2 linked regions of the Macaca mulatta genome follow. The protein of the gene in region 1 purifies or fractionates together with the protein of each later gene. This does not show direct contact. Links are inferred from orthologs where the notes say so. Each region holds a gene or a part of one and is shown on either strand. Other genes may lie near its edges. The genes, in order: CCT8 and TLE2.

Evidence for each region.
Region 2: the proteins of CCT8 (region 1) and TLE2 purify together in Homo sapiens (affinity purification with mass spectrometry; 3 studies listed by BioGRID and IntAct, with this or other methods). This does not show direct contact. The link is inferred for Macaca mulatta from reciprocal best matches to the Homo sapiens genes CCT8 and TLE2.

The regions. Positions count from the first base shown.
Region 1 is NC_133408.1:18,428,860-18,432,678, forward strand, and holds part of CCT8 (T-complex protein 1 subunit theta), read left to right. Parts: intron 1-586; coding exon 587-677; intron 678-1,413; coding exon 1,414-1,493; intron 1,494-3,196; coding exon 3,197-3,346; intron 3,347-3,819. UniProt on the Homo sapiens protein: Component of the chaperonin-containing T-complex (TRiC), a molecular chaperone complex that assists the folding of actin, tubulin and other proteins upon ATP hydrolysis.
Region 2 is NC_133424.1:3,804,484-3,808,302, reverse strand, and holds part of TLE2 (transducin-like enhancer protein 2), read left to right. Parts: intron 1-43; coding exon 44-193; intron 194-2,655; coding exon 2,656-2,794; intron 2,795-3,819.

The sequences.
Region 1 (3,819 bases):
TCAGTGGCACATACTTAAAGAACTTCTGGCTTTACAAAAGCCCAGATTCTAACACAATGAGAAAAATATTCCACATTTCAACATTAGAAAATACCGATAAACTCTGGAAAGGTATTCGACTTGAAGTACCTCATTCCCATTCTCTAATTAGCCTTAGCATGGTTCCCTGTACTTTTCACTATTTTTAATAAAAAAATTATAAGTCTTACGATTTGATGTGTAAGTAGGTACCTGCAGTCCCCCAAAATGTTATACTTCTATTCATTCAGCTAGAGAGGAAATGTATGCATCATTTATGAATATCAAATGCTATGTTTTACATAAATCTTGTTTGATTGTCTCAACAATCCTATGAGGTAGGTACTATTATAATTACCGCATTTTATAATGAAGAAATATTAAGAAAATTGCCCAAATTAAAAAGCCAGAAAGCTAAGATTTGTAACCAGCCCTCTTGTGCCGAATACCTCAGCTATGCTCCCTCTTTATTAGAAGCAAGATATAAGCGAAGATATCTTCTGTTTGAAAATTCTTGTTTCACTGTCCTGTCTAATTAGCGGGGTTTTTTGTTTGTTTGTTTTAACAGCACTTTTCAGGATTAGAAGAGGCTGTGTATAGAAATATACAAGCTTGCAAGGAGCTTGCCCAAACCACTCGTACAGCATATGGACCAAATGGTAATTTCTAAATTAATATTTGTAAAGATACAGTAGTAGAATTTTGTGTACTACCTCTTCTTTCAAACTTGTTCTGAGGATGTTATAGTATGGCTTTGGAAGTTAATTTGATAGCTTAATTAATAGTTCAAGTTTTTAGTTATTTCTAATTTTCAGTCAACTCAGATCTCTAGAAAAATAGGGATCAATATATTACTTTTTATCCTGTTGAGAGGGTAGAAAAATTATAACACTTTGACTAGTAAGATAGTACCTAATGTTCATTGTGACAAACACTGAATATAAAAGTGACGTAGTTTAAGGAAGAAAATTCCCTCCTTCTTCTTGCCTTCTACCGCCAATTAAATATAATTGATACAGTTTCATGGAATAAACATACAACTAAATATACTAAATAGGTTATTTTGGCCTTTTTACATATTAATATCTGTTGAGCACTTGTTGCATGACAATCATGTTGCAAGAGAAGACAGAAATTGGCAAAAATGTGAGATTTGGCATGTTACGTAGTAAATATTGTAGGACATTAAAAAGGAAAGAAAGAATATGGGTCTGCGGTCAGAGAATGCCCATGGGGCTATAAGATAAACTTGAAGAATAGATAGTATGTGTTTTCTTACAAAGCTATTTTTTAAATACACAAATTTATATTTTTTTACTAGATTTTCGTGGGTATTTGGGTAAGGATTTGATTAATAATGGCTTTCTTTTTCTTTTTTTAACTGTTACTTTTGAGGAATGAACAAAATGGTTATCAACCACTTGGAGAAGTTGTTTGTGACAAATGATGCAGCGACTATTTTAAGAGAACTAGAAGTAAGTTGTTTCTTTAAAAGTCAAGAAATATTTTGGTGACATCAAAATTAAGTAGACTTTAACTAGAAGAAATCTCTTATTTCAGATTGGATAAGGGACTGTTTTTCCAACTTGAAAATTTATTATACAGGTTGTTCTAATTATAGAGAGTCCTCTTTAGATTGAACATTGTAACGACTGAAATCTTAAAAATTTCTTAAGTTATTAATTTGTGGAGGGATTGGTTGTGATACATTGCTAATTGGGATATGAAATTGATTACCATTATCTTCATTCGATAGAGTGACTCTGAAGTGAATTATTCCACAATGCAAAAACGTATACATAAAACAGTGGTTTTTAAAAAGATCCAACCACTTGATTTTATGAAAATAAAAACAGTCAGTTTATGGCAATCTACTTTGTTCAGCTCCAGTTTTGCTATTAGAGTCTATAAAATAGATACTGCCTGCCAGCAGGGTTGTAAGGAAGATCTGTCACCTGAACAGGCAGAGAGAGCCATTCCTCATTCCCGCCTTGTAATTAAAAGATAACATATTCAGCCTCAGGGAATTTTCCTGCAGCTTAGCCCTTGAAAGCGCTAGAACTTAATCTTTTGTTTTAAATGAAACTATAGAAGAATCAGCATTTCTCTAACCTCTTAAAATATTTTTGGCTGGACGCGGTAGCTCACGCCTGTGATCCCACCACTTTGGGAGGTCGAGGCAGGCGGATCACCTGAGGTCAGGGGTTCTAGACTAGCCTGGACAACATAGTGAAACCCCATCTCTACTAAAAATACAGAAAAAAAAATTAGCCGGGCGTGGTGGTGCACACCTGTAATTCCAGCTACTCAGGAGGCTGGGGCTGAAGAATCGCTTGAACCTGGGAGGCCGAGGTTGCAGTGAGCCAAGATCACGCCACTGCACTCCAGTCTGGGCAACAGAGCAAGACTCCAACTTAAAAATATATATACATATATATATAATTTTTTTTAAGTTTAAAGTTAAATTTTAACTCCACAAAACACTTGTACAAGGATTTGTCATTGTGAATGTTAATGTTGCACACTGATGATCTCAGGAGTTAACATCAGGAGTTATTAAAGTATAGTGGTGATACTGTCAAAATAATAAAATCACAGGGCTGACTTTTATAGTTTACTCCCTGCTTTCAGTTCTTACTCCTTGGCTTGTTTCTGTAAAGATATCTAAAATTAAATCTTAAGAATAAAATCCACGTAAAATTATGTTACATTTTAAGAAAACTTTTATACTCCCCCTTTTCTTTAAATCACAAATGATAGCCCTTAGAACAAGAATATATGGTAAAATAGATACTGAGACTCATGACCAAGTTAAGTGGTATCTATTTTAGTTATCCTGAAGGATTTTAAAAAAATATTTAGGTTTGGTGGTTGTAATTACTTTGTTTTTTAATTTAGTGAGATATAATGATATGCTGAACCATATGTGTGGCACTGTATGTACAGGCCATCAAAAGAGGATGCACTTTGAAATTCTTATTTATAGTGATACATTTGTGCTGATCGGCATAAAGGGACTTGGATTTTTTCTTGTGACCACACTATAAGTAGCGTATAGCGGTGTGATCAAATGGAGTTACCTAATCTACAGGAAAATTGGAGTCTAAGAAAGGGAAATGAACAATTTTATGTTGCTTTAAGAATCAGATGTTTAACTTGATATTACCTTTCCTACTAGGTACAGCATCCTGCTGCAAAAATGATTGTAATGGCTTCTCATATGCAAGAGCAAGAAGTTGGAGATGGCACAAACTTTGTTCTGGTATTTGCTGGAGCTCTGCTGGAATTAGCTGAAGAACTTCTGAGGATTGGCCTGTCAGTTTCAGAGGCAAGTGTTCATTTATAATTTACTCCTACTTAATTTTTGCTTACATGTACACCTGCTTAAAACATAAACTAAAATCATTATTATAGTAGTAGCTAACATGTACTGAGCAGTTTCTCTGTACCAGCAGCCGTTACAGTACATATGCTTCACATGCAGTATCATTTTAGTCTCACAAAAACCCTATTTTTGAGGCCTTATAATCTCATTTTATCTATTTTTTCTTTTTTTTTCCCCACTTTATTTTAGATGAGAAAGAGATTAAAATTAGAAAAATCTTGCCCAAGATCTCATAGCTAGTGAGTTAGGTAGAGTTAAGATTCAAATTTGGGCTGTCATCTAAGCCTCCATTCATAACTAGTAGAGTCTACTATATGTATTATTCCAAAGTATATTCTTTGTCATTTTATATCAAAAATAAACATCCATATGCATTCGGTTACCTAAGTAAGCTACTTTAAGTCATGTCAGAATAG
Region 2 (3,819 bases), on another chromosome or scaffold:
TCTCTCATTTCAACTCTGCTCAATGTTACCTTCTCGAACCCAGGACCAACCCTCAGAGCCCCCCAGCCCGGCTACCACCCCCTGCGGAAAGGTACCCATCTGTGTTCCTGCCCGTCGGGACCTGGTGGACAGTCCGGCCTCCTTGGCCTCTAGCCTTGGCTCACCACTCCCTAGAGCCAAGGAGCTCATCCTGGTAAGGAGGAGGGGAGGGCCTTGAAACTCACTTTATTCATCCTGGGGGCCTGGAAACAGACACTACCCCATGACACAGAGGGCAATGATGAGAAATCAGCCCGGCTGGCATTGTCCACCCTCTCCTTGTGCTTTTTTTTTTTAACCTCCCGCTGGGACTGACTTTGTTGAACCTCAGTAAATATTAAAAGGCAACTTTGTAAAGAAGCTTTGTAGATAAATTTTAAAAGGCAATTCACCACCTTACATGGAAAGCAGGTCTCTCTGTTGCAATCAATAGGAAATCCCATGGAAATAAACACAGTGAAAGCCCAGCCAGCTAAGCTGGACCCAGGCCTGCATGTGTTGAGCCCTTCCAGAGGCGCTTAGAGATACACCGGCCCCAAGCTGAGATGTTGTCCCCGGAAGGAAAGATAATTAATATAGGAACAACTTTCCGGTTGGACCTCCTGGAGTTTAATGCCAGGCATGTAAGCCATCTAAAAGCACCCCCAGGGCATTCCAAATTCAGCTCCTTTTGTGGCTCCCCTCACCCCAAATCTTCTCCAGACCCCTCCCCTGCACTTACCAGGGGAGAGTATGTCGGTTTCTAGGCCTCCCCTCCCGGTTTCAAGGCCTCCCCTCTTGGCAGGTTACCATGGCAACCACCAGAGGTTGGGGCTCCCATTCTATCTTAAGTGCCCTCCTCCCACTGCGGGAAAAACCTTACGAGGGGGTAGGGCAGCTCCGTTGTATTGGAGAAGCCCTCAGGGGTCCTCCCTGACCCCACAGTTGTCCCATCCACTCTCTCGCGGGTGCGGGTGCTGTGCAGCTGTCAGCGTGTGTGCGATGGTGTCATGGGAAGCCGAGACAGACGCAAGACAAGGATGCGAAGTTTCTTGGGAGGCAGGGGAGGCGGTGACATGAAGCCGAGATAACAGAACCTGCCCCTAGATGGAGGTCCAGCTGCTGCTTTCCTCAGAGTTCCCCTTGGGGAAGGACAGCTCTGGGTGACACCTCCCTCTCCGTGGGGGGCACAAGGAGGATTGCACTGTGTGCTAGGCGTTCTTCCTTCGCCTGAGAATATGCCGCGGTGGGGTCTGCCTCTCCACGAGCCCATCCCGGAGTTTCTAATTCCTTGTCGTTCAAGAATCTCAACAGTGACTGCGGGCTGTGGCTCATGCCTGTCATCCCAGGGCTTTGGGAGGCCAAGGCAGGACGATCACTCAAGAGCAGGAGTTGGAAACCAGCCTGGGCAACATAGTGAGACCTTGTCTCTACAAAAAAATTTAAAAAGTTAGCCGGGCATGGAGACGTGTGCCTGTAGTGCCAGCTACTTGGGAGGCTGAGTCGGGAGGATCACTTGAGTGTGGGAGGTTGAGGCTGCATTGAGCTACGAGCGTGCCTTTTTTTGTTTGTTTTATGTTTTTTGTTTTGGAGATGGGGTCTCCCTCTGTCACCCAGTCTGGAGTGCAGTGGCGCGATCTCAGCTCACTGCAACCACTGCCTCCCGGGTTCAAGAGATTCTCCTGTCTCAGCCTCCCGGATAGTGGGTAGCTGGGACTACAGGTGCGTGCCACCACACCTGGCTAATTTTTTGTATTTTTAGTAGAACAGAGTTTCACTGTGTTAGCCAGGATGGTCTAGATCTCCTGATCTCAGGTGATCTGCCCGTCCTGGCCTCCCAACGTGCTGGGATCACAGGCATGAGCCACAGCACCTATCTGATCATGTTATTTTTGAGAGCAAGACCCTGTATTAAAAAAAAAAAAAAAAATGCAAATCTTGACAGCCTATAACTTTGTAACTTTGTTGCCTTTTTTTTTTTTTTTTTGGTGGAATTTTGCTCTTGTTGCCCAGGCTAGAGTGCAATGGCCTGATCTCAGCTCACTGCAACTTCTGCCTCCCGGGTTCAGGCAAGTCTCCTGCCTCAGCCTCCCGAGTAGCTGGAATTACAGGCACGTGCCACCATGTCCAGCTAATTTTGTATTTTTAGTAGACAGGGTTTCACCATGTTGGCCAGGGTGGTCTCAAACTCCTGACCTCAAGTGATCCACCTGCCTCGGCCTCCCAAAGTGTTGGGATTACAGGCGTGAACCACCGCTCCCAGCTGAAACAGAGTCGTGTTCTGCTGCTCAGGCTGGAGTGCAATGGCGTGATCTCAGCTCACTGCAACCTCCACCTCCCGGGTTCAAGCAATTCTCCTGCCTCAGCCTCCTGAGTAGCTGGGATCACAGGCATGTGCCACCACGCCCGGCTAATCTTTTTTTGTATTTTTAGTAGAGATGTGGTTTTACCATGTTACCATGTTGGCCAGGCTGGTCTCTAACTCCTGACCTCAGGTGATCCGTCCACCTGGGCCTCCCAAAGTGTTGGGATTACAGGCGTGAGACACTGCGACTGGCCCCCACAGTTTCTGATCAGATCATTAGGCCACAAGACACCAGGTGTCTGGTGGCGTTCAGTCCTGCCCTTTCTCTGCAGAATGACCTTCCCCCCAGCACTCCTGCCTCCAAGTCCTGCGACTCCTCCCCGCCCCAGGACGCGTCCACCCCTGGACCCAGCTCGGCCAGTCACCTCTGCCAGCTCGCTGCCAAGCCAGCGCCTTCCACGGACAGCATCGGTGAGCACCTTGCCTGTTGGTGCCTGTCCGGAGCAGGCCTCATCTCCGGGGAGATCTAGGAAAAGGGGCTGGAGAGGCAGAAGGCTGAGATTCCAGGCCTGGCGTTCATTGCCTTAGTCCTTTTTGTGACTTCAAGTTAGACTCTGCCTCCCTCTGGGCAGTTCCTCGTTGTCTCCGCTTGGCGGGTAGGGAAACTGAGGCCTGGAGCGTGGAAGGGGCTTAGTCGCGGGTTTCAGCCTAGTGCACTGGAGAGACGATCTTTGGGGCCAGATGGGCTTGGGTTTCAGACCAAGCTTGGGTATTCACCAGCTGGGTGACCTTGGGCAAGTGACCCAACCTCTCTGAGCCTCAGTTTCCCCATCAGTAATCTGGGGAATGACAGTGGTCATCTTTGCTGCCGTACGGTCACGCCCTGGGCTGGTTCTAGGGCCCCTGAAAAAAGTTGTCCTTGGAACCTGCCCTCAAGGAACTCCCAGGTGGCAAAAAGGGACGAAACCCAGACCCCAAAACTCACAGCCCTGTATAATCAGGGCTGGTACCAAGCCAGGTGCCCAAGAAGGGCAAAGCTGGAGGTTGGCAACGGGGAGGTTCAAGGATGTTTCGGAGATGTTAAGGGACATTGGGCCTCAATTATTTTTTCTTTTTTTTTTTGAGACGGGGTTTCACTCTTGTTGCCCAGGCTAGAGTGCAATGGCACGATCTCAGCTCATGGCAACCTCCCGCTCCCGGCTTCAAGCAATTCTGCTGCCCCAGCCTCCCGAGCAGCTGGAATTACAGGCATGCGCCGCCATGCCCAGCTAATTTTTGTATTTTTAGTAGAGACCAGGTTTCACTATGTTGGTCAGGCTGATCTTGAACTCCTGACCTCAGATGATCCTCCCACTTCGGCCTTCCAAAGTGCTGGGATTACAGGCATGAGCCTGGGTTTTGAAGGATGGGTAGGAGTTTGCCAATTAAAAGAAAGAGAATGGCCATAGTCCCAGCTACGCGGGAGGCTGAGGCAGCAGAATTGCTTGAACCCAGGA